Linked DNA regions of Lonchura striata. The protein of the gene in region 1 purifies or fractionates together with the protein of each later gene. This does not show direct contact. Links are inferred from orthologs where the notes say so. Each region holds a gene or a part of one and is shown on either strand. Other genes may lie near its edges.

What was found.
Region 2: the proteins of TRIM33 (region 1) and SKIL purify together in Homo sapiens (affinity purification with western blotting; 4 studies listed by BioGRID and IntAct, with this or other methods). This does not show direct contact. The link is inferred for Lonchura striata from reciprocal best matches to the Homo sapiens genes TRIM33 and SKIL.

Annotation. Positions count from the first base shown.
Region 1 is NC_134632.1:1,999,281-2,010,787, forward strand, and holds the start of TRIM33 (E3 ubiquitin-protein ligase TRIM33), read left to right. Parts: upstream 1-6,284; coding exon 6,285-6,711; intron 6,712-11,507. Other genes in the region: BCAS2 (pre-mRNA-splicing factor SPF27), read left to right, coding at 87-179, 264-356, 623-693, 1,308-1,469, 2,136-2,186, 2,715-2,795, 3,286-3,415. UniProt on the Homo sapiens protein: Acts as an E3 ubiquitin-protein ligase. Promotes SMAD4 ubiquitination, nuclear exclusion and degradation via the ubiquitin proteasome pathway. According to PubMed:16751102, does not promote a decrease in the level of endogenous SMAD4.
Region 2 is NC_134612.1:23,034,206-23,045,838, reverse strand, and holds the start of SKIL (ski-like protein), read left to right. Parts: upstream 1-7,053; 5' UTR 7,054-7,163; intron 7,164-8,064; 5' UTR 8,065-8,867; coding exon 8,868-9,974; intron 9,975-11,633. Other genes in the region: PRKCI (protein kinase C iota type), read left to right, coding at 1-63, 813-900. UniProt on the Homo sapiens protein: May have regulatory role in cell division or differentiation in response to extracellular signals.

The DNA.
Region 1 (11,507 bases):
GGGGGCGGGGCTTGTGCCCGAGCAGCGCACCGCCCCGCCGGGCGTGACGTGTTTGCGCACGCGCAGTGCGCGCGGCCGCGGCCAAGATGTCGGGCCCGGGGCTGGTGGCCGGGGATGTCGTGGTGGATGCGCTGCCCTACTTCGATCAGGGCTATGAGGCGCCGGGCGTGCGGGAGGCGGTGCGTGCGGGGCCGCGGCGGCGGCGGGGAGGGGCCGGGGCGGCGGGCGGGCTGTCCGCCTGCCTGACGCCCCGTGTGCGATAGGCCGCGGCGCTGGTGGAGGAGGAGACGCGGCGGTACCGCCCGACCAAGAACTACCTGAGCTACCTGCCCGCGCACGACTACAGCGCCTTCGAGGTGAGCTGAGGCGGCCTGGCAGCTCCCAGAGCCCGGCCCGGTGCCCCCATACCCCGCCTGGCCCCACTCCGTGACCTGGCTGGGACAGACCCTGCCTGTCCCCGTCCTTGCCCCGTACCCCTCTCGTGTGCCCGTACCCCTCCTGTGTCTCTCCGCCCCTGCCCCGGCTGTCCCTCCGCCGTTATCCGTTTGTGTCCTGTCTCCATCGTGCCCGCTTGTCTCATGCACTGTTCCGCCCCTGTCCCTCACTGCTGCCTTCCCCGCAGACCGAGATCATGCGGAACGAGTTCGAGCGCCTGGCGGCCCGGCAGCCCCTGGAGCTGCTCAGTATGAAGAGGTGAGTGGGGCCGGCAGGGCAGTGCCTGTCCCGGGTGAGCCGTGCCCGGTGTCCCGGGTGAGCCGTGTTCAATACTTCGGATGAGCTGAGTCTAGTGTCCCAAGTGAGCCATGCCCGATGTTCTGGATGAGCTGTGCTTCATTTGAGCTGTGCCCGGTGTCTCGGGTGAACCGTGCTCAGTGCCCTGAGTGAGCCGTGCCCCAGTTGAGCTGTGCCCCAGTTGAGCCGTGTCCCATTTGATCCATGCCCGGTGCCCCAGGTGAGCTGTGCTCCATGTGAGCCATGCCCCATGTGAGCTGTGCCCTGGGTAATCCATGCCTGGTGCCCCAGGCGAGCCGTGTCCCAGGTGAGCCGTGCCCAGTGCCCCGGGTGAGCCATGCCTGGTGTCCCAGGTGAACTGTGCTCCATGTGAGCCGTGTCCTGGATAATCCGTGCCCGGTGCCCCAGGTGAGCCGTGTCCCAGGTGAGCTGTGCCCGGTGCCCCAGGTGAGCCGTGTCCCAGGTGAGCCGTGTCCCAGGTGAGCCATGCCCGGTGCCCCAGGTGAGCCATGGCCCAGGTAATCCATGCCCGGTGTCCCAGGTGAGCCGTGCCCGGTGCCCCGTTCCCTTTGCAGGTACGAGCTGCCCGCCCCCTCCTCTGGGCAGAAGAACGACATCACGGCGTGGCAGGAGTGTGTGAACAACTCCATGGCACAGCTGGAGCACCAGGCCGTGCGCATCGAGAACCTGGAGCTCATGTCCCAGCACGGCTGCAATGCCTGGAAGGTGTACAACGAGTAAGGCCTCAGCTGCTCTGCTGAGCACCAAGTTCTGTGTTGATTTCTGTTTGTTTATTGGGTGTAAATCCGGTGGGGATCTCTAAAATGTAGCCTGGAATAGATGAAATCCTGTGAGAGAGCTGTGAGTGAAAGAGGAGGCTGATCTCAAAGCTGTCTCTGTGGCCAAGAAACAGAATGTGTTTAATACATCCCACTCTTGAATGTTGTGGGTTATTGTTGATGCTGGTGGGTGTTAATTAAGGCTAGTGATAGCCTGTGAAGAAATAACTCACTAGTGGAAATGGAGATGAGTTACTACAGATCCTGGGCTTAGCCTGGAGCCATAATAAAGCTGCTGCAAAAGCTAAGAAGAGGTTGTAGAGTATGGCTGCAGGAAGTACTGGGGTTAATTCAGAGAGAGAATGTTAATGTCCACTTTTGAGAAGGGTTGGCTGAGCCTTAGATAGAAGAGTAGGTCAAAGGAATGCCAAACGTAGCTCAGGGAGAAGGCAGAGGGTTCCTGAGCTCAGGAGAAGGGAAGCAGGTAAAGGATCTGCTGGCTGGAACAAGGTGCTGCAGGGGCTTGTTGAATCCTGAACTCTGAGAAGTTAAATGTCAGATGAAATGGGGCTGAAATTTTAGCAGTTGTGTGTTTTTAATGCTTTGCTTGCATTCTGTCATCAGGCACCTGGTTCATATGATAGAACAAGCCCAGAAAGAGCTTCAGAAATTGAGGTGGGTCATTCTTATTTATATTTTTGTACTGAAATTGGAAGTGAACCTTTCTCTCCCCCCAAGCTGTACAAAGGAAGATGTGTATGCTGGCTGCTGCCATGGTCACAGGGAAAAAGACCCAGTAAAAACAATGATGAAGAAATGTGACCCTTCCCTCCCCAGTCCCATTCATCATGTCTGTTCTACTCAAAATTCTGTGTTTGATTTGTTTAAATCTCTGCTCTGGATTTGTGGAACCCTCCCTGAAATGTAGCAATGCTTTAATTTCACTACTGATAATTTAGTGTGCAATTGTCTCTGTAAGGACATCTTCCCTGATGTTGGGTTTGGCCTTTTACTTTTATTTATCTCAGGGCTCTTTGTGAGCCCTGTACTGAGATTTGTCCATCTGGATGTTGTCATTACAGTCCTGGCTACACAAATATTTTCTGGCAGTACTTCTAGGGATTGAGTGTACTTGGAAATTAGCAACAGGTACTGCAGATGCCAAAGAAATGAGGAAATAAAAATGCATCCTTTTCTCCCCAGGAAAAACATTCAAGACCTGAACTGGCAGAGGAAGAACATGCAGCTCACAGCTGGGGCTAAGCTGAGAGAGATGGAATCCACGTGAGTGTTGATATTTCTCGGTTAACCCTTCCACAGCTTTCTCCATTGCTTGAAATTTACTTGAAATTCTTCTTCCACTTGAAATTCAGTGATCCTTTGGTGCTGCTGTAGGATACTGTTGCTTTGCAGGAAGTGTTTTAAGGTATTTGTAGTTTGGTTCCATATTATATTTACTGAAATTGAGTGAATCAACAGGTAGGAAAAGAGTGTATTTATTAGCTGCTTCAAATTTCCTAAATTGTCTTAAACTGTTCTTTATCTCAATATTGGCAGTTGGTGGATGAGTCTAGTCATTACATTTTTTGTGTTTTCAGGTTTAACAGGGTTAAAAATTATTCATTGTCACTTCGGTTGTTCCAATGACCATTGATGTCAACTATAGCATTATTTGGTGTTTCTGCTAGATTTGAAGGAATGGTTGTCTTTGATTTTTAACCAGAGGACGTTTACATAACACCTAAAGGCTCTTTTTATTTCTTTTCCCTTCCAGGTGGGTCTCTCTTGTCAGTAAAAATTATGAGATTGAACGAACTATTGTGCAGCTGGAAAATGAAATTTCACAAATCAAGCAGCAGCATGGGGAAGCAAACAAGGAGAATATCCAGCAAGACTTTCAGTGACTTTATCCTGACTTATCTTAGTGCTGCATGTGTCAAAAACTGCAAACCTGACACTTTGGAGATGCTGTGTCTGTAGACACCTCTAGTTGCAGATGTGTGAGGTGGTAAAAGTATTTCCATCATTTCTTTTCCTTGTTTTAAATTCTAGAAAGAAGCAGGGTGGACTCAAAACATCATATTTAAGTGTGTCACAGGCACCACTCAATGTACTGTGAATTGTTTAACTTTTTATATACTTAAAGCAGGAGCTGGTGTTGTCATGTTTTCCCCTATGCCTTTAATAAATCCTGTTTTGCTATTTCTCTGGTTTCTGCTTCATGTCTAAAGCCTGGGAGCTGTGGAGGAGGTGGCTGGGCCAGGTGAACCCTGAGAATCTCCTGCAGGGGAAGTGGTGGGAAACTGGAATTTGGGCTGGGGAAGTCTCTGCAGCACTGGGCCGTGCAGTGCCCACTCTGGTGCCACTGTCACTGCAGTGGGCCCCAGCTGGGTAATAATTAGCACTGGCTGCATGATTCCCAGAAGGCTGATCAATCTCTTTATTATATTATATGATTATTAAGAAAGCCATTGCTTTTATAGACAGTTATGATACAGATTGACCTAATTGGTCCTCCAGTCCAAACACCGTCAGCATTGGCTAATTAAGAAACCACCCTTTGTTAAACAAATCTCCACAACACATTCCACATGTTCACAATACCAGTAAGATAAGAATTGTTTCTTATTCTCTGATCTCACAGACTTTCCCCAGGACGATGCCTGGGCAAGTTGTGTTTCTCTCTGTAGCCAGAGAGCTGCTGCCACATGCCACCACCTGCACTGTTCCTCATCCCAGGGCATAATTCCTGATCATCCTGCTCCCACTGGCTGTTCCCTGTCCCCATGCTCTGACTCCCATCCTGATGCACTGCTCCATGCCTCAGTTTCCTTTTCCCTATGCTGGTGTGCCATTCCCCATCCCACTGCTTGACTCATCTATCCCAGTGTGATATTCCCAATCCAGGTCTGCTGTTTCCTGTCCTGGTGCCCTGTTCCCCATCCTGGTCCATTATCCCCCATCCTGGTGCCCTATACCCATTTCCCACATCCCCATGCTTTGCTCCCTATCCCAATGGGTTATTCCCCCATCCCCACTGCATTATTCCCTTTCCCAATGGGTTATTCCCTATGCCAGTGCCCCATTCCCCCACCCCGCTGCAGTATTCCCTTTCCTAATGGGTTATTCCCTCATCCCCAGTGCAGTATTCCCTATCCCAATGGGTCATTCCTCCACCCCAGTGCATTATTCTATATCCCAATGGGTTATTCACTATCCTGGTGCATTATTCCCTATCCCAAAGGGTTATTCCCTATCCCAAAGGGTTATTCCCTATCCCGGTGCATTATTCCCTATCCCAAAGGGTTATTCCCTATCCCGGTGCATTATTCCCTATCCCAATGGGTTATTCCCTATCCCAGTGCCCCATTCCTCCACCCCAGTGCATTATTCTATATCCCAATGGGTTATTCACTATCCTGGTGCATTATTCCCTATCCCAATGGGTTATTCCCTATCCCAGTGCCCCATTCCTCCACCCCAGTGCCTTATTCCCTATCCCAAAGGGTTATTCACTATCCCGGTGCATTATTCCCTATTCCAATGGGTTATTCCCTATCCCGGTGCATTATTCCCTATCCCAATGGGTTATTCCCTATCCCGGTGTCCCATTCCCCCACCCCGGTGCGTTATTCCCTATGCCGATGGGTGATTCCCCTTCCCGGGTATTCCTCACTGGGTATTCCCCGCTTCACGCGTTATTCCCCGTCCCGGTGGGTTATTCCCCTCCCGCAGCGGTTATTTCCCAGCCTGTGTGTGTCATTTCCCGTCCGGAAGGGTTATTCCCCACCGCGCTGCGGTATTCCCCGTCCCGATGGGTATTCCCCAGCCCAGCGCGTTATTCCCCAGCCCGGTGCCCTGTTCCCTATTCCCGCTGCGTTATTCCCCAGTCCGGTGTTCTGTTCCCTATTCCCGGTGCCCTGTTTCCTATTCCCGGTGCGTTATTCTCCAGCCCCATGCTCTGTTCCCTATTCCTGGTTCCCTGTTCCCTATTCCCGGTGCGTAATTCTCCAGCCCAATGCCCGGTTCCCTATTCCCGGTTCCCTGTTCCCTATTCCCGGTTCCCTGTTCCCTATTTCCGGTGCCCGGTTCTCTATTCTTGGTGCGTTATACTCCAGCCCCGTGCCCTGCTCCCTATTCCCGGCGCCCGGTTCCCTATTCCCGGTTCCCTGTTCCCTATTCCCGGTGCGTTATTCCCCAGCCTGGTGCCCGGTTCCCTATTCCCGGTGCCCTGCTCCCTATTCCCGGTGCCCTGCTCCCTATTCCCGGTGCCCTGTTTCCTATTCCCGGCGCCCGGTTCCCTATTCCCGGTTCCCTGTTCCCTATTCCCGGTGCGTTATTCCCCAGCCTGGTGCCCGGTTCCCTATTCCCGGTGCGTTATTCCCCAGCCTGGTGCCCGGTTCCCTATTCCCGATGCCCGGTCCCTATTCCCGGTTCCCTGTTCCCTATTCCCGGTGCGTTATTCCCCAGCCTGGTGCCCGGTTCCCTATTCCCGGTGCCCGGTTCCCTATTCCCGGTGCTCCGTTCGCCATCCCCGTACCCGGGGGCGTTCCCGCGTGGGCGTGGCCACGCCCCTGCCTCCACCACCGCCCAATAGGATCGCACCCCAGGGCTCATAGCCCCGCCTCTCCGTGACGTCACGACCCGCCCTCCCGGCCGCGCCGTTGCCGCGGGAGCGCGCGCGCGTGCGCGGCGCCGTTCCCGCCCGGTCCCGCCCGGTGACGCGGTGACGCGGAGCGTGCGCGGAGCGGGGTCGGGTTCAAAGGAGGAAACATGGCGGAAAACAAAGGAGGCGGCGGCGGCGGGGACGCGGCCGCCGAGGCCGCGCCGGGCGGCGGCGGCGGCCTGGAGCCTCCCGCCGGCTCGCCGTCCGCCGCCGCGCCGCCCGAGGAGCGCGAGAGCCCCGGGGCGGCGGCGGCGGAGCGCGGCGGCGGCGAGGCCGAGGCCGAGGCGGCGGCGGGGCCCGGTGCGGCGGCGGGGCCCGGCCCCAGCCCGGTGCCGCCGCTGACGCCCGCGGCGCCGGGGCCGTTCTCGCTGCTGGACACGTGCGCGGTGTGCGCGCAGAGCCTGCAGAGCCGGCGGGAGGCCGAGCCCAAGCTGCTGCCCTGCCTGCACTCCTTCTGCCGCCGCTGCCTGCCCGAGCCCGAGCGCCAGCTCACCGTGCCCGTGCCCGGCGGCGCCAACGGCGACGTGCAGCAAGGTGAGCGCGGCGAGCGGGCTCCGCCGGGGCCGCCCGCCGCCCGCCCGCCGCAGCGCGGGGCTGGCCCGGCCCGTCGGGAGCGCGGCGTGCTGCGGGAGGCAGCGGCGGCGGGGCTCGGGACGGTCGGGCTCGGGACGGTCGGGATCGGGAGGGTCGGGATCGGGAACGCAGCGGCGGCGGGGCTCGGGACGGTCGGGATCGGTAGCGCCGATCGCGGCCGGGGGTTTCCGTCGCGGGCGGGAGGGAGGGAGGGACGCGGACCTGTTGGAGCGGGCAGAGTTGCTCGGAGGGTGGAGCAGCTCCGCTCTCGGGGAAGGCTGGGGGGATCGGGATCGTTCAGCCCGGAGAAAAGAGACCCTTCTCCCTCTCTCCAGGGAGACCCTAAAGCCCTTTTCGCTGCCTAAAGGGAGTCTGTAATAAAAATGGGGGCAGTGTTTTTGGCAGCACCTGTTGCGATAGGGCTGGGGATAATGGTTTTAAACTGGAGCAGGATCGGTTTAGATTAAGTGCAAGAAAGAAATGTTTACCGTGAGGGTGTTAAAACATCGGAACAAATTGCTCAGAGAGGCGGTGGAAACGTTCAGTGTCAGGCTGGACCAGGCTCTGAGCAACCTGCTCGAATCTAAGATGTCCCTGCTTGTGACGGGGGGGTTGCACTAATGACCTTTAAAGGCCCTTTCCAACAAGCAAATATTCTGTCATTCTCTCCTTCTGTGTGTTTTGTTTTGGCTCTCAGGTGACACAGCGGAGGCGAGTCGGGAAGGGGGTAGGCAGCTGCTGGGGTGAAACGTGTCTGGTTAAATTGAGATTCACTGTGGCAGGATTACCTGCCCAGGTGGGAACGCTGTGTGCACTGCACCTGCTTTGCTGTGCACTGAGATAAAACCTTGCCGTGCTGTTTGTCAGCTCTGCCTCTACGGAACTTGTACCAGGGAACAGGAGTACGCTGCTCCTTCTACCTGTTCTTAGCAGAACCACAGCTTGGGTTTGAGTTTTCTTTTCTAATATGTGTTCAGGGATGGAATTGAAAAGCTTCGGGAGCTTTAGATGGGGTGACTCATGGGCTGTGGTGTACAGAGCAAAGCAGGGCCCTGGTAAGTGGTTTTGCAGGTCCTAAATGGGCTCTATGGTCAGGGAGACCTTGTTTGGTGACATCTTTGCACTCAAGCCCTTCCTGTGTTCCCCAGTGAAGAAATTAACCTGGCACGGTAGAGATATTTTTCATCCAGACTGTTCAGAATTCCATATAGGATGTGATCTTAGTAAGTTCACTGGTCTTAAAAAAATGATGTATTTAAATATGGTTTGCCAATGCACTCAGTAAAGCACTCAGATGGTCTTGCGATCTGTGTTTTTAAATTCCAGATTCTACATTTTGTGTTAAATCATAGAGTGACAGAGTGATTTGGTTTGGAGGGGGCTTTAAAGCTCATCCAGTCCCACCCTGCCCTGGGAAGAGACAACTTCCATTGTCCCAGGTTGTTCCAAGCCCCATCCAGCCTGGCCTTGGACACTTTCAGGGATCCAGGGGCAGCCACAGCTGCTCTGGGCACCTGTGCCAGGGCCTGTCCACCCTCACAGGGCAGTGATATGCCAGTGAAACACACAGAACTTGGGAAGCAGTGTTTCTTTTAATTAGCAGGATTATCTTGAGTCCTGCTGTGTCTGTGGGAGGTGTCCTCCCCACAGGTGCGGGAACCACTGTGTACAAACTGGAATATCACTTCTTGTTGTACACATGTTAAGAATGTTTGTTGGTGTGCTTTGGTGTAGAAATAGATCATGTATGGACTGTTGGAATAAAATGTTTTGGGTGATGTGAGCAAGGTGCAGGGGTCTGGAGCATCTTTGATGTCAGGAAAGACTGTGGGGCTGAGGCTGTTTAGGCTGGAGAAGGGAAGACTGAGAGGGGATCCCATCAATCCATAGGAATATTTCCAGGCTGGGGCAGAAGAAGGTGTCAGGCTCTTTCCAGTGGTGCCCAGGGCAGAACAAGGAGCAATGGCCATAAATTCTAACACAAGGAGTTCCACCTGAATGAGAAAGAAGTTCTTTCATGGAGGGTGGCAGAGCCCTGGAGCAGCTGCCCAGGGAATGGGTGGAGTCTCCCTCTCTGGACACATTCCAAACTCACCTGGACACATTCCTGTGTGTCACCTGCTCCAGGTGGCCCTGCCTCGGCAGAGGGCTGGACTGGGATCTGATCTGCAGAGGTGCCTTCCAACAGAGGTGCTGTTGTGGGAGTGTCCTGTAGGGCTGTGGATCCAGCTGTGGTGGCATCTCATCCTGCACCAGCACAGGAACTGGCAGCTATATCCTCATGGCTCTTCTTGTTCCCTGGGTATTTATGGTATTTAATCCTTGTTTCCTTAGGGAAATAGCAAATGCTTTTGGGCAAGAATTTGGCTGGAGTCAAATATTTCCAATTTCTAGAGGGAATCTCCCAGGGGACTTTTAAAGAAAAATTTGTTTCTTTTATATTTGGTGCTTTCCAGTTGGGATGAAAAGTACACCCTGAAATACAGTAGGACTGGCTCATCCTCAGCTGAGGATGGGCCATGGACCAGCAGAGGCATTTTTGTGGGCAGCTCTGTGCACCTTGAGAGTGGAATCAGTGGAGTGGCATGGGAGATGGTTACCAGCAGCTCAGATAGAAAATGGACATTCTGAGCCTCCTGAGAAGCAGCACAGTGCTTCGTCACGCAGGTTCCTTCCCCGTTCTGGCAGTCACAAAGTGTACTTCCACTTCTGCTGATTCTCAAGTTTCCTTCATGACGAGCAGGTGCTCTTTCATGAAGGAAGAATGAAGGAGAAGTGGTGCCTGTAGCTGTACCTGAGGCAGGTTGCACGTTGCTGCAGGCTCTCACTGCTGCATCGTGTCCCTGCCATCTTTCTGCATCTCTTCACATAAACCAGAAAAGTACAAATGATATTTTTCCTGGTTGCTTTCTTAATTAGTTTGGGAGTTTGCTCAGTGAGAGCTGTCAGGACTTAAAACAGTAGAATATGTGTATTTATTGGGTAAAAGCTGTGGAAATGGAATGGGAGGTTGGTGCCCACAGGGCAGTTCTCTGAGTGGCAGCACCTCCCCTGGTGCAGCTCCCTCTGCCCTCCTGGAGAGAGTGATGCTGGGCCTGGGTCAGCATCTCTGCTCCCTTCAGAGCCACTGCTCAAGAAGGCAGAAGAATCATCTCAGTTCCTAAAAGTTAAAGAACCCCTGACTAAAGCTTAAAACAATTATCTGAAGTTGTGGTTTGCTGTATTAAAAACAAGTTCTTGGTGGGACATACCTATTTTGCTGGTGAAGAAGGTTTATTTTGCTGTTGACTACATTTATGTAGGGGAAAAAGAGAAGAGTCTTGTTTCATATATTTAAAGCATATGCATTTGTTTAACATGAAAAGTGGTATCTCATATTCAGTTTAATTTCTTAATTGGTTAGGGGAATGTGCATTTTATTTGGTGGATAGATGATTTTGTATGGTGTTTCAGCAGTCCAGCTGGACTTGTTCTTTCAGGTTGAAGAGGTTACAAAAAATGCCTGCATTTGTATCACTGTATTCTGAAAAAAAAGCTGATTTCTAAGTTATTTCAGGCTGTAACAGATACTGTAAAACAACTTTTTCTGCACCCACTGCTGCTCCTGCTCCTGGAGGAGAGGTTGTTTTGTGGTTTCACTGCCTGGATGAGATATTTACAATCTCTCTAAAGAAGATTATCTGAGTAGAGAGAGCTTAGGGCTCTCCCAGCTCCTTGGGAATGTCACAGTTATGATTAGGCTGAAAAACCAAATGAGCTGAAAACCCTCCACAGTTGGTTGTGTGTGTAAACCGAGGAACAAAACATTTACTACCCAGAGCTGTGATGTACCAGAAACTGGTTTGATGTGCTGAATCCAGCTCCTGCACCCAGTGTTGCTGTGTTGTATTAATCACACCTGAATTTTTTTGTTTTTTTTTTAATTTGCTGTGAGAGGAGGACATTAAAGTTCTGATGTGTATGAGGATGTGGCATGTCCCTTACACTGAGTTTGGTGGTAGATACTGTATTTTCAGTCAAGAAGAATGAAAATTCCTGCATCAAATAAGGTTCTTTAAGCTGTGTAAATGCAGCATCTTAAGTTTTATTAAACTGGATGTGACTAGACATCACCTGAACTCTCTTGATTCTTTACTTTTCTTCTGTGTTCATAAGTGAGGCTCATGAATATATGCTGGAGCCCCGCATGAGTCTGGAAATGCTCAGTTCATAATCTGGGCTTACTAAAAATCTTGCTATGAAACTTACATTTCTGTCTAAATTAATAGTGTATTGTAAAATATTTCCATCAGTGAACATTAAGGCATGTGTTATTTTTATAAAAATTATCTGTGGCAGCTGTAATTTTTTTTTATTATTAAATATAATATATTGTCAGTTCAGTGTGTGATAATTGCCATAGAGTCAAGGATTGTTCAAAAAACAAAAAAACTGAGTTAGGAGTGGACCTTGAAAGCAGGTAATTTTTAAAAATGTATTTTTAATCTGACAGATTTCAATCTGATTGTATCACTCCCTTGAACTGTGAGGATTTGTTTCAAGGTCTAATCACTGAGATTAGAGCAGGTTTTGATGTATGGCTGTGCAGAAACATGCTTGGACCCTTGCAGCGCTAAGAGAAATAAATATTATGCACGTGGAGTTACTACTATTGGAGTTGTCACCCAGTAAATGGGACCTGGCAGAGATTCATTCCTGAGAGGGCTGGTGCCCTGCCAAACCAGAACGGAAGCTGGAGTTACTGGATTGCACAAGTG
Region 2 (11,633 bases), on another chromosome or scaffold:
TGGTCTGGATAACTTTGATTCCCAATTTACCAATGAACCTGTGCAGCTCACTCCAGATGATGAGTAAGTAATGCAGCATTTAAGAAGTTTAGAGAAGAGAAGCTTTTTTTACTTGTTTTATTTTTTTTTCACTTTTACTGTGTTTTATATTGTTAGTAGTCAGGTGAGATTCTCCTGGCTGAAAAGCCTTTATAAATGCATGAAATGTGCTTGATTTTGGTAGTGGATTTGTGGTTGCTTACTCTTGAGAGGGCCTGATTCCTGATATGGGATGGGGAGGGGAAGCACCTTTCTAGTTTGATTGAACTGCTTCTGTTCACATTTTAGGATTATAGAGGTTTATATAACATTCACATTGTATATAAATATAAACTGTGTATATTAAATGTTACCTATGCACCTTAATCAGTTCTGCAATCCAACTTCCTTCCTCATCCCTTTCTAAATACAGACTGTACAAATTATGTTTAGAAAAGTTGCTGATGCAGGTGCAGTATCTATCACATCCTAATGTTTTCAGGTCCTTACAAACCTGACTGTTTAGGGCAAGTTTTGAAACTGCAAGCCTTGCAGACTGCTTTGTGAGTCAGTGAGTGAAGCCCAGTCACTGCTTTTGAGGGGTTTTGTGTTTTGGTACCATTATTGGGCTTAAAAAAACCCAGTGGTAACTGTAAAGGTAGAGAGGAACAAAAGAGGGAAGGGCAATTTTCTCAATTGCAGTCCACTGAACAGTTTAAATTTTAAGTCAGACTATCAGTTAATGTTATCTTTTTAATTTTGCTCAACTAATGATTGTTTTTTAATCCTAATAGTGATATTGTGAAGAAGATTGACCAGTCTGAATTTGAAGGCTTTGAATACATAAATCCTCTTTTGATGTCAGCTGAGGAATGTGTCTGAATTCTCCATTTCTGAACTGTGCCAATTGTTACTCCATTTTTTTCTGCATGGATAAACATCTCTCCATTTGGATGCACTTGCATAAAATGAGTAACTCAACATCTTGCCCTTGCCACCACCTAGTGTGTGAATTTTCTTTTTGTATTGATTGTTGTCCAGGATAGTTGTTATGCTGAACCTTCAGCTGCCAGATTGAAAATGTTAGAACTTTCTAACAATTTTGCCAAATTTGAATTTTAATACAGGAGCTGGTTTCTGGGGCTCCTGACTGAACAAAGTTTCTGACTGTATAGTTTGCCAGTATAGTGTTCTGAGCAAGGAAAGGTTTTCAGTGCTTAATGAAAACAAATTGCATCAGGTAACATAGTAAATTAAGGTAACATAGTAAATTATCCTTCAAGGATTTCAGATTTTTCAGCAAGATGAGCAAGAACTTACCACTTCTGTAGTTCCAAATCTCTTCTCTCTGAACATCTGATTTCCCTGTTCTACATATAGAAATTAGAGCTTTGTTCATGCCCTTCAGACTGAGAAGACAGCAAGGAGAGCAGATATTTACACTGAATAGGTCAAGACTGGCTGCTTTCATGGAGAATATTGATCCTACCATGAAGGAGACTATTAACTCCATATCAGAATTGGTAGACTTTGCTCCAGCACTCACACTAGGAATTGTACACTGATACAAAGAGTGCCTTCCTAGGCTGGACCTTTCAGCAAGGGTTGGACATGGCATCAAGTGTCAGTTTAATTAAAAATTCAGTTAACTCTTGGAGAAGTTAAAATCTGTACAGAGTAATTCAGCAGTAATGGGCAGCTAATACTGAACCTCATGCTATTTATTGCTTTTATACTTGCTGTCTTAACTGCATCAGAAGTGCACACGGTACAGCCCAGCCTGGAAAAGGGCATCAGTTCCTTTTTTATCTTACTGCCACACTGCTGAGAATGAGTTCCACTTTGCCAGTGGAAAAAGCATATCTAGAATAAAATAGGTGCTGTCCACAATGACTCCCTTAACTTCTGCCCTTAGGGATGGTGATCTGTACTTACAATCAAACCTGAAATGTTGGTAGCAGGCTCAAGGAAAGCAATTGAAAGAATGGGTCTAAGGATTAGGACTAAGAGATGTGTTTCTTACATTTCATGTTAGTAAGCAGTGTAATATACAGCACAGATAATTCTTATTTTTAATGCTAAAGCTATAGTTATGAATGTGTTGGGCTGAAGGAATGCCAAACGTACCACTTTTTTATTATTGTTTTGGGGAAAAGGGATTAAGAGACATTGAGGAAAGGAATCTGTATTATGTAAGAGCTGTAAGAGAAGATAAGTGTCACTGGAAGCAGATCTGAGAATCTGTAAGCACAAGTTGGCAAGCATTATCTGAGGCTTTTAGTAGACTTGCTTGGCCAGTGTCTTTCTGTGAAAATCCTCATATGGCAACACTAATTTCATAGCACAAGTTTTCTGGTGTATGTCTGTTCACTTCCATGTCAGCTGCAAGCAGAGAGATTGCACAAATCCACGCTGGTGTCATGGTATGAGATTTAGTTATTGTTTTTCTTTGCAATGTGAATAAGAAACTCCTTGTTATTGGGCTGAGTTTCCAAAACTGATAAGTGATTTGATGGGCTTCAGTTTCAGGGAAGTGTGGAACCTCCTCACTGTTAAAAATCAGGTTTCCTAAAGTTAAAGTTGTATCTTTTCAAATGTAAAATATGAGCGTGAACCTTCCTTTACAAAGCAGCTAATAGGGTCAAGTGAACTGCACTATGTGCAGTTTGAAAATGGTGATTTTTTAGCCTCTGACTCCTGTACCCACATGATCAGTTTAGACATCAGGGCATAACTGATATTAAACCTGGGAATCATTTAAAACAAACAAGAAAAGCCTTGCCTCTACAGTGGCATAATTTCCTACAGGGTATTAAAGGAAATGGCTTTATGTAAGAAATGACATTTCTGCCATTCATCACAGAAGAGTAAAGCAAAAATTAATTTTTTGTGTAATGTCACAGAAAAATTATTTTTTCTATTTACATATCTAACCATTAAGAATCTTGCAGTGACAAATACCTTAAATTACAGTAAATCTATTTTTAAACTTTAATTTTCTCCAAAGTGCCATGATATTTACTATTATTTTTCATTGTTAAGCATACAGAAACTGTCATAAATATTCAGAAGGGACATTAGGTGTAAACAGTCCAGTGCAGTAGCTTTTGTTTTTTGGAGAACGTGTCTGCATCAGAAGCATGATGTATTTATGTGGAGTAACCTCTTTTTTGTACACGAGTTGGATTCCTATGGGTGCTCTGCTAGTTAATATTGTCACTACTATTTTCCTGTTTCATGTGGAATATCGTCTTGAACGTTGTTGTGTAATCATTTCCTTTATTTGTGCACACTTTTTACGTTAAATAAAACATTTATATTCAACCTCAGAGAAATCTCAGAGAAATACTGTGAAATGCTGGTCTTGGGATCATCGTCTAACCCTTTTAAACTGTCCATATCCCATGGGAATCTTGTTCTGATCTTTTCATTTCTTGTAGAAAATTGCACTGGGATGGGCCACAGCAACCCAAGAAATGCCTTTCTTACCCTGCATTTACCAAACATGTCTGAGAATGCAGGTTCTGCTCCAGCATCATTCCCTAGCCTCATGCTCATCTAGTCCTTTGGAAAAACACCATCCTTGTAGGTTCTTTCCTTCCAACACCAGTGATGAGACAAAGCAGTGAGGCATCCATCCTCTGCACAGAGATAGAAATCTTAAAGGAAAATACAAAATGTTACTTTAGCCTGCTCATCCAAGGACTCTTTCAGCGCTGGAGTTCGTACATCATCTCAGCTGCCAGAGCTGGGATTTGGAGTTCAGAGCAACGCTCTTGTCTGCTGCACTTACTTCTGCATGATTTATTTCTTTGTTTCTTCAACTCCTCCCCTGCATTCTGGGATTTCTGACACAGAGGGTGATGGCACAGATGCAGTGGTTTAATTTCTGTATTTCAGTATCTTTTAAAAGAGATTTTGTCTTGCCTCAGCACGGGTGTGCTTCGGCAATCCTGGCGAGTGCTGCAGATGGCTGCATATCTTCCATGCTTAACCTCCCCCCACGCACGCTCCCTGTTTCTGTTCTGTTGGGTGCCCAGCTGCTCTCGCCTCAGTCTGAGCAATTGTTTATGCTGAGGCACTCTATGGAGGAAGCTGATAGCTTGGATAATCTATACATACACTTGGTAAGTGCTAAGCAAGCGTCCTCACTTCAGCATGGATGGTGTAAGGCATTGAAGCAGCAGAGGTATCTGCAACTGACCACAGAATTATGTTTTCCTGGGAAGAGAGAAGGTAGGGGTTGGAGCCCCTTTGAGAAAAAACAGATTTTACCATATCTTGCATTTTTTCGCAGAGAGATCCCCCATGTGTTTATTTTAATTTTTTTTTTCTGCTTATAATAAAGGGATCTGGACTGAATACTTGAAAGGTGGATTCTTACCATTTAATCACCAATAACTGAAAGCAGAGCAGTGTCTACATCCCAGGTCTGTGCAGCTTTTGTGGGAGGTGGCTTTTCCAGGCATAAATAGCAGGAATCTCTTGTGTCCATGTTTCATTTCTAAGGATGAGTAAAGTGTCTGGGCTTATACTCTTAGATCAGAGGAATAGTTCAAGTCCTTCATGAGCTGAAGTGTTTTGTGCACTGTCCCCACTGTGACTTGTCCAGCAGGATGTGGTGTCTGCCAAAATCTATCAACTTTTTCTGCTTAAAACACAACCTGTAATACAATATCTGTTTTGCAAGAATGAAACCTCCTATGACAGATTAGCTAAGTGTGAACTGTTACAACTTACTATTAAACATGACTACTAATTTTTTTTCTTTAAAAAGTACGATATCATCTCATCAGAGACGAAAATGCATGGTCTTTGTTCACAGTTAAATTGTGCTCTCCAGGGCATAGTTCATAGTTAAATTGTGTATCTTCAGGGACTGTGCATCAGGGAAGTTTGTGAGCTTCCCCAGAGCCTCAGCATTTCTTTAAAATTCAGACACTTTATTAATCAAATCAAGATTCCTCCTGTGCTATTAGTGCACTTTATTACCACTTGCAAAAGTCTGTAACTCAGGTTTTAGTTATGCAGTGTCTTCAGAACTGCTTTTCACAGTCCACAGTAGAAATAGGCAGAGCTAACACCTTTTTTTAGACAATCCTCTACCTACAAACTTTGTCTTCCATCGCCTGATTATTGTAGCTCTATAGCAACACTATCATTACAGCACAATAGTTACCAGGCTTTGTAACCTGAAATGGAACATTTCTGCGGCAGAACTTGAAAAAAATCAACAAATTACACAATGCCACTGGATCCTAAGCTTCCATGACATCAGCACGTCTAATAAAAGATGAAATATCTGCCTACATATGCTGCCTTCCTCACAGACATTGATCAATCCAGCTGCAATGTTAGACATTACATTTTCTTCAGTAAATTTGAAAGGGATTGTGACATAGTGCATTTCACTGATTGGTATTCAAAGAGGCTTTTTTTAAAACAATCAGGTCATAAAGTCCAAGAGGGTGAAGCAGACAGGAATGTCTAGAATGTCTATACAATTCCCTCATAGGTTCATACCTTTTCAGAATCAGCTCCAAAAGCTGGTGCATTCAGAAATCTTGTTTATTTCTGCCACATTGTTGTGGCTTTTAAACAGACCTTATATCTGCTTAATAAATAAGTAGTGGGTGTTAGTATTCTTTGCAAAAACGTTTACTTTTCTATAAAACCCTGATGGTTTGGCTTGGAAAAGGCCTTAAAGATCACTCAGATCCAACGAAATTGTAGATATTGTTGCAGACACCGCAACCGATGCGGTGGTTTGAGAAAGAGGTGACTGCTGAAGCAGCTTTGAAGTGATGCTCAAGGGCCTCTCCATCAGCGACCCCGCCCAGCCCAGAGGAAACCTGAGCATATCAAAGGTGCGAAATCAAGGATTAAAGAGCACCAAACGCCTCTGTCAGCAGATCAGCGGGGCAGGTTCTGTGCCATAATCCTCCTGGGACGGCATTAGGGAACGGCGCGGAAGGGATCAGGGATCCCGCCGGCCGGTGCGAAGCGGTGCCTGGTGCTTGTACAGCTGCCCCATTTTCATGTGCCGTGCTTTTGTACTCGCATCAAAATATGTAACTGTGTGGGATGAAAGGAAACGGCAAATTGGATCGCGCCGTAATCCCAGCTGAAGCGCTGTCTTCACAAAGATGTAAACTGAAAAGCTTTGGGCCTCTTGCAGGCGGAAGAAACTTGTAATACATGAACGAGCTGTACAGCGACTAAGCTGTCCCTGAAGAGCATCTTCCCCGCCTCTCCGCGGTTCGATCGCTTCGTTTCCCAAAATATCTCCCGCGAGCCTGTGGCTGGAGGGAGCGGTCCGTGCCACGGCTTCGGGGCCCCTCACACGGGCCCGCCTTCCCCGCGCCTGCCCGCCCGAGCACAGCCCGCCCTCCTGGGGACCCTCGCTGGGGACAGCACTGTGAGACCCCTGCCAGGGACGCTCCGTGGGGGACAGTCACTCGAGGGCTTTCACTGAGGGACCATCTTTTTGAGGGGCAGTCAGTGAGGGATCCTCTGCGGGCGCCTCGCTGCGGGGCAGTCACTAAGGGGCGGTCACGGAGATCCCCCCGCTGGCGGCCTCTGCCCGGGGCCGCCGCCGCGCCTCAGGCGGGCGACACGCCCGACGGGTCCCCGACAGCGCCCGGCTTTTCCCCTGCTGCCATGGCCGCTTCCCTTCCCCGCCCCAGCTGCAGCTGCCGCTCCGTCCCGTCCCTCAGCCGGCCCCTCTCGGCCGCCGACGGCGGAACGGCGGCAGGGCGGCGCGGGGCAGGCTCTGACCGGGCGGGCTGCGGGGAAGCCGGGCAGAAACAACACTTTTCCATGCGTATTCACTTTTTAGTGTCTATTACACAAAGATCTGTTTTATTTTTATTTCTCCTCCTGCGCCTTCCCCGCGGGCGGCAGCGGGGGGAAGGCCCGGCCGGGTTTCCCGGCGCTGAGGCGGCGGCGGGCGGGGGAGGGGCGGGCGGGCGCTCCCGCCGCTGCCCCAGACAGTGGGCGGGGCCGGCGCGCGCCGCCGGCGGGTTCGTGCCCGCGCGCCGCCGCCGCCGCCGCCGTCTCGGTCTCCGCAGTGAGGTCACGGGTGGGCGGCGCGAGCGCGGCGCCTGTTCCGCTCCCCGCGGCCGCCGGAGCCCCCGCGGCGCCGGGTGAGCAGCCGGGGAGCTCGCTGGGAACGGCGGGGAGCGCGGCGGCGGAGCCCTGGGGGGAAGGGCGGGAGCGTCCGCCGGGGGATGGGAGGGAGCGGCGGCGCGGGGGCGGCGGGGAGAAGGGGAGCGGGGTACCGGCGTTGGGAGGAGGGGAGGGACACGGGGGCGGCGGAGCGGCGCGGTACGGCCGGGGACGGCGGGGAGCCGGGCAGGGCGGAGGGGCGAGCCCGGCGGCGGGAGGGGGAAGGGCTGAGCCCGGAGCGGTGCCGGCGGGGCCGGGGTGAGTCACGGCGCGGGAGGGAGCGGCGGCGTGCGGCGTCCCGGGAGGGGCCGCGGGGCGAGGGGTCGGTGCCCGGGATGTGGGGGCCGGTGCCCGGCTCGCCGGAGCGCCCGTTCCTTTCGGGCGTGCACGCCGGCAGAGCCGCTCCGGACCGCCCCCTCCCCCGCCGGTATCGCTCATCGGTCGGGGGCTTGTCCCGGTGTTCCGCAAGTTACTGGGAAATGCACCCTGCCTCTGGCAGGCAATCCCGGTGGTTTGGGCTGCAGGGGGCCTTAAAGCTCATCTCCTTCCAGCCCCCCCACCCCGCCATGGGCAGGGACACTTCCACTATCCCAGGCTGCTCCAAGCCCTGTCCAACCTGGCCTTGGACACTTCCAGGGATGGGGCAGCTGCAGCTTCTCTGTGCAGCCTGTGCCACTACCTCACTGCTATCACCGAGAACAATTTCTTCCTTGTATCAAATCAAAACCTTCCCTCTCTCAGTATAAAGCCATTCCCTCTCGTCCGCTGACTCCTGTCACACTTTCACCTGTGTCAAAAGTCCCTCTCCAGTCCTTTTTACCCCTTTAGGTACAGAGCAAACTCTGGGATTGCTTGTGATCAGCCATCTCTCTTTCACAGGTTATCAGGAAGGACGAGCAGAACTCTGTGCTAGCACACGACATGCATCCAGCCCATGGCCTGGATCTCACCTCTATTACTAATAACTTGGGCTGGGAAAATTCTGACACACGCCAGTGACATCTGGGCGAAAGGTGACTCTCTAGGGACGTTTAGTTTTTGCCGTCGGTCTGGATCAGCCTTTAATTTTAGGATTTATTTGTGAACTGCCATAATAGCTGTCACGGTGGTGGTGGTGAAATCATAAAGCTGGCAGCACAATAAAGCAAGCCCTTAAGATTGTGTTTGATCTCTGGGAGCTAAAAGTGCTGAATAAAATTTTCATACAACGTAAACTACGTTTTGGATCAGTTTCGTTGAGATTGACATTCTTCTAACTGAGCCCATTTTTCTATTTTATTATTTAAATAGAGACTTATTTGAAAAGACAGTATATTTTTTAAAGGAAAAAAAAACGATTGAGGATGAACACCCATCAACGCATCGTTTTTTACTAAATTGCTGAACAAGACTACTGTGTAAAGTAGTGGCTAGGGTATGAAGAAAACCTTTTGTATACATATTGCATTGGGGTTTTTATATTATGAAATTTAACAAATAGCTAAGAAAATAGTGTAACCCCCTTCGTTAGTAGTTTTACAGAATTACATACAAAATGGGTTACAATTTTTACTGTTGAATGCTGAAGAAGATGTTTTAGGGAAAGGAGCGTGCAGCTCCAAGATCACATGAAACTATTTTTTATATAAAAAGTAAGAAAATGCACATTCAAGACTGGCTTAATTAAAGCTCAGTGTTCAGCAATGGAAAGCCCACAGATAAACTTCCCTCTAGGTCTGGTTTCAGACCAAAAAAGAAGCAGGATCCAAGAGGATGGGAGTCCTCCACTGAAAAAAGCAATGACTGAAATGCATGTAAATAACAAAGTACAGGTAGTAATAAATAAATTGCCAACAATAAAGAAGGAAAACCTGGATGACTATGATGAAGCTCCGGTGGAGGCTGATGCGGAAACCGCCAAGCCAAACAGTGCTTCACTATCTGAGCCTTTGAGTTTAAATCCAGGTTTGAAACACACGTTGGCACAGTTCCACCTAAGCAGCCAGAGTTCACTGGGTGGACCTGCGGCTTTCTCAGCTCGGTATTCCCAGGAAAGTATGTCACCCACTGTCTTCCTGCCTCTCCCATCACCACAAGTCCTCTCTGGTCCGCTGCTCATCCCTCCAGACAGCTCCACGGAGCTCACGCAGACCCTGCTGGAGGGGGAATCCATCTCTTGTTTTAAAGTCGGAGGAGAAAAAAGACTTTGCCTGCCTCAAGTATTGAATTCGGTTCTCCGAGACTTTTCCTTGCAGCAGATCAACACGGTGTGTGATGAGCTCTATATCTACTGCTCAAGGTGCACTTCAGACCAGCTGCACATTCTGAAGGTTTTGGGAATTCTTCCGTTCAATGCTCCGTCCTGTGGGCTCATTACGCTGACGGACGCTCAGAGACTATGCAATGCTTTACTGCGCCCTCGCACTTTCCCCCAAAGTGGCGGTTTCCTCCCTGGTAAGAACACCTTGGCCCAGCTGAAAGAGACTGGCAGTGCCTTCGAAGTAGAGCATGAATGCCTGGGCAAGTGCCAGGGGTTGTTTGCACCTCAGTTCTACCTTGCCCCGGATGACCCGTGTATCCAGTGCTTGGAATGCTACGGGATGTTCTCACCCCAGACCTTCGTGATGCATTCACACAGATCCCCAGACAAGAGGACCTGCCACTGGGGGTTTGAGTCGGCCAAGTGGCACTGCTACCTGCACATTAACCAAAAATACCTGGGCACATCAGAAGAGAGAGAGCTGAAGCATCTCTTGGAGGAAATGAAGGAGAAATTCAGCGAGAAAAATCAGAAAAGAACTCGGTCCAAAGTAAGTTCACCTGGTGTAAAATTCCCAGATCTCTTTCTGCTCGCACATAAATACTTGTTTTAGAAGCGCATTACTTGGCTTTTCTAAGTGGGAATACTTGTCACATCAAGCCTAAGTTAAATCTGTGTGAGCTTCACCATGGAAATAACATTTCTCATTAAGAGAGGTGGTAATTTCTTTCCTCTTTGGGCTGCAAGTAACCATTTGAGGTGGCTTGGCTTTGTTGGTTCTTGTTCTGTCCTAAAGTATACAGACTCTGGAAAATTCAGGCTATTGTGAAAATTTTCATTCTCCCGTTTGACCTTTGAGTAGGTTTTAATGCAGCGTGTGCTGCAGCAGCTGAGCAAAGCAGAAAGGAGCTTGAAAATCAAGCATTACAAATGAATTCTTCATTTGTTGTTTGTACTCCAGCATGCACACGTGGGCTGGATGGCAACCTGGCTTGCTGGCCACCCATCTCATGACTTGTGTGCAGGGTAATGGTGCTTAGCTAAATGGCTATTTAGAAGCCCAAAGTCTGCTTGTTCAGCAAGAGCTTTCTGTTTAAACCACTTGTGCAGTGAAATATGCCAAAAAGAGGGGGTTTTAAGCAGCCCAAGTAATGAGCTGTGGGCCGGTATCTTGACAATAGTTAATAATAGACATCTTATTTTTTCCTAAAATACTGCTGCAAGTCTGTGCTGTGGTTCCAAAATACAGAGCTTATTTGTCCCTTGGAGAGCTTCTACTTTAAATAATAGGACAAGTAGCAGAGAAACATTAATATTGTAGATGTTCCCATTCATAGAAAGCACAATTTTGGGGTATAATTTAAACTTTTAATGGTTTCTGCCCCATGACAGTTTCTTTTCAGTGTATTCAGTGTTTCTGTGTCTGTTTGATGGCTGCTGGTTTGATGATAAATCCATGTTGCCTGTTGGATGTTTTGTGGTGGATTTCAAAATAGCAGCAAGAGCAGCGCAGATGGTTGAGCCCAAAAAGGGGTGCTATGAGCTGACACCTTTCAGCACAAATTTCTGAAAAGTTGGTTTTGCAGGAAGGCTGACGGTAGTAACAGGTATTGTTACAGTGGTGCCAGTCTGCAGGAAGAGATTTTACCAGCAGATTCCCATGGAAGTCTGCAGTATGGCATGCTTCCACATGCTGAATTATTTGAAGATGCAGTCTCCTAGCAAAGAGATTTTGCTTTTCAACTGATAAAGACATGTCAGTCTTTATTCTTGCAATGCCAGTGTAGGAAGTGGACTACAGCATGGTGGATACATCAGTGGAAATAGTTTTCCATGTTCACACCTATAAGTGCTGCTTCTCTTCCCACAGCAGCACATTTCAGACAATGAGATCTTTCAGTTTCATGTGCAAAGATGAAAAAACCCAGCTGGAAAGAGCAGTGGCAGTAATTTGGACTGGACTGGTGCAAATGAAATTGTAAAACTTTCTGTGGTCTTGTGTTGCAGACCCGTGTAATTCTTTCTTACAAAGCAACATGTGAAACCAGAGTCAGAAGCTATGAAAACCTGAGCTAAATACAGCGGTGGGGGAGGTTTTGGGTTTTTTTTCATCCTGTGTATATTCATCTGGGAAGTATGAAAGAGTAAAAGAGTTTAAGAGGGCAGTACTGGGGTAGAGTTTCCCTTTTCTTTTCCTGAGGGAGCTTAG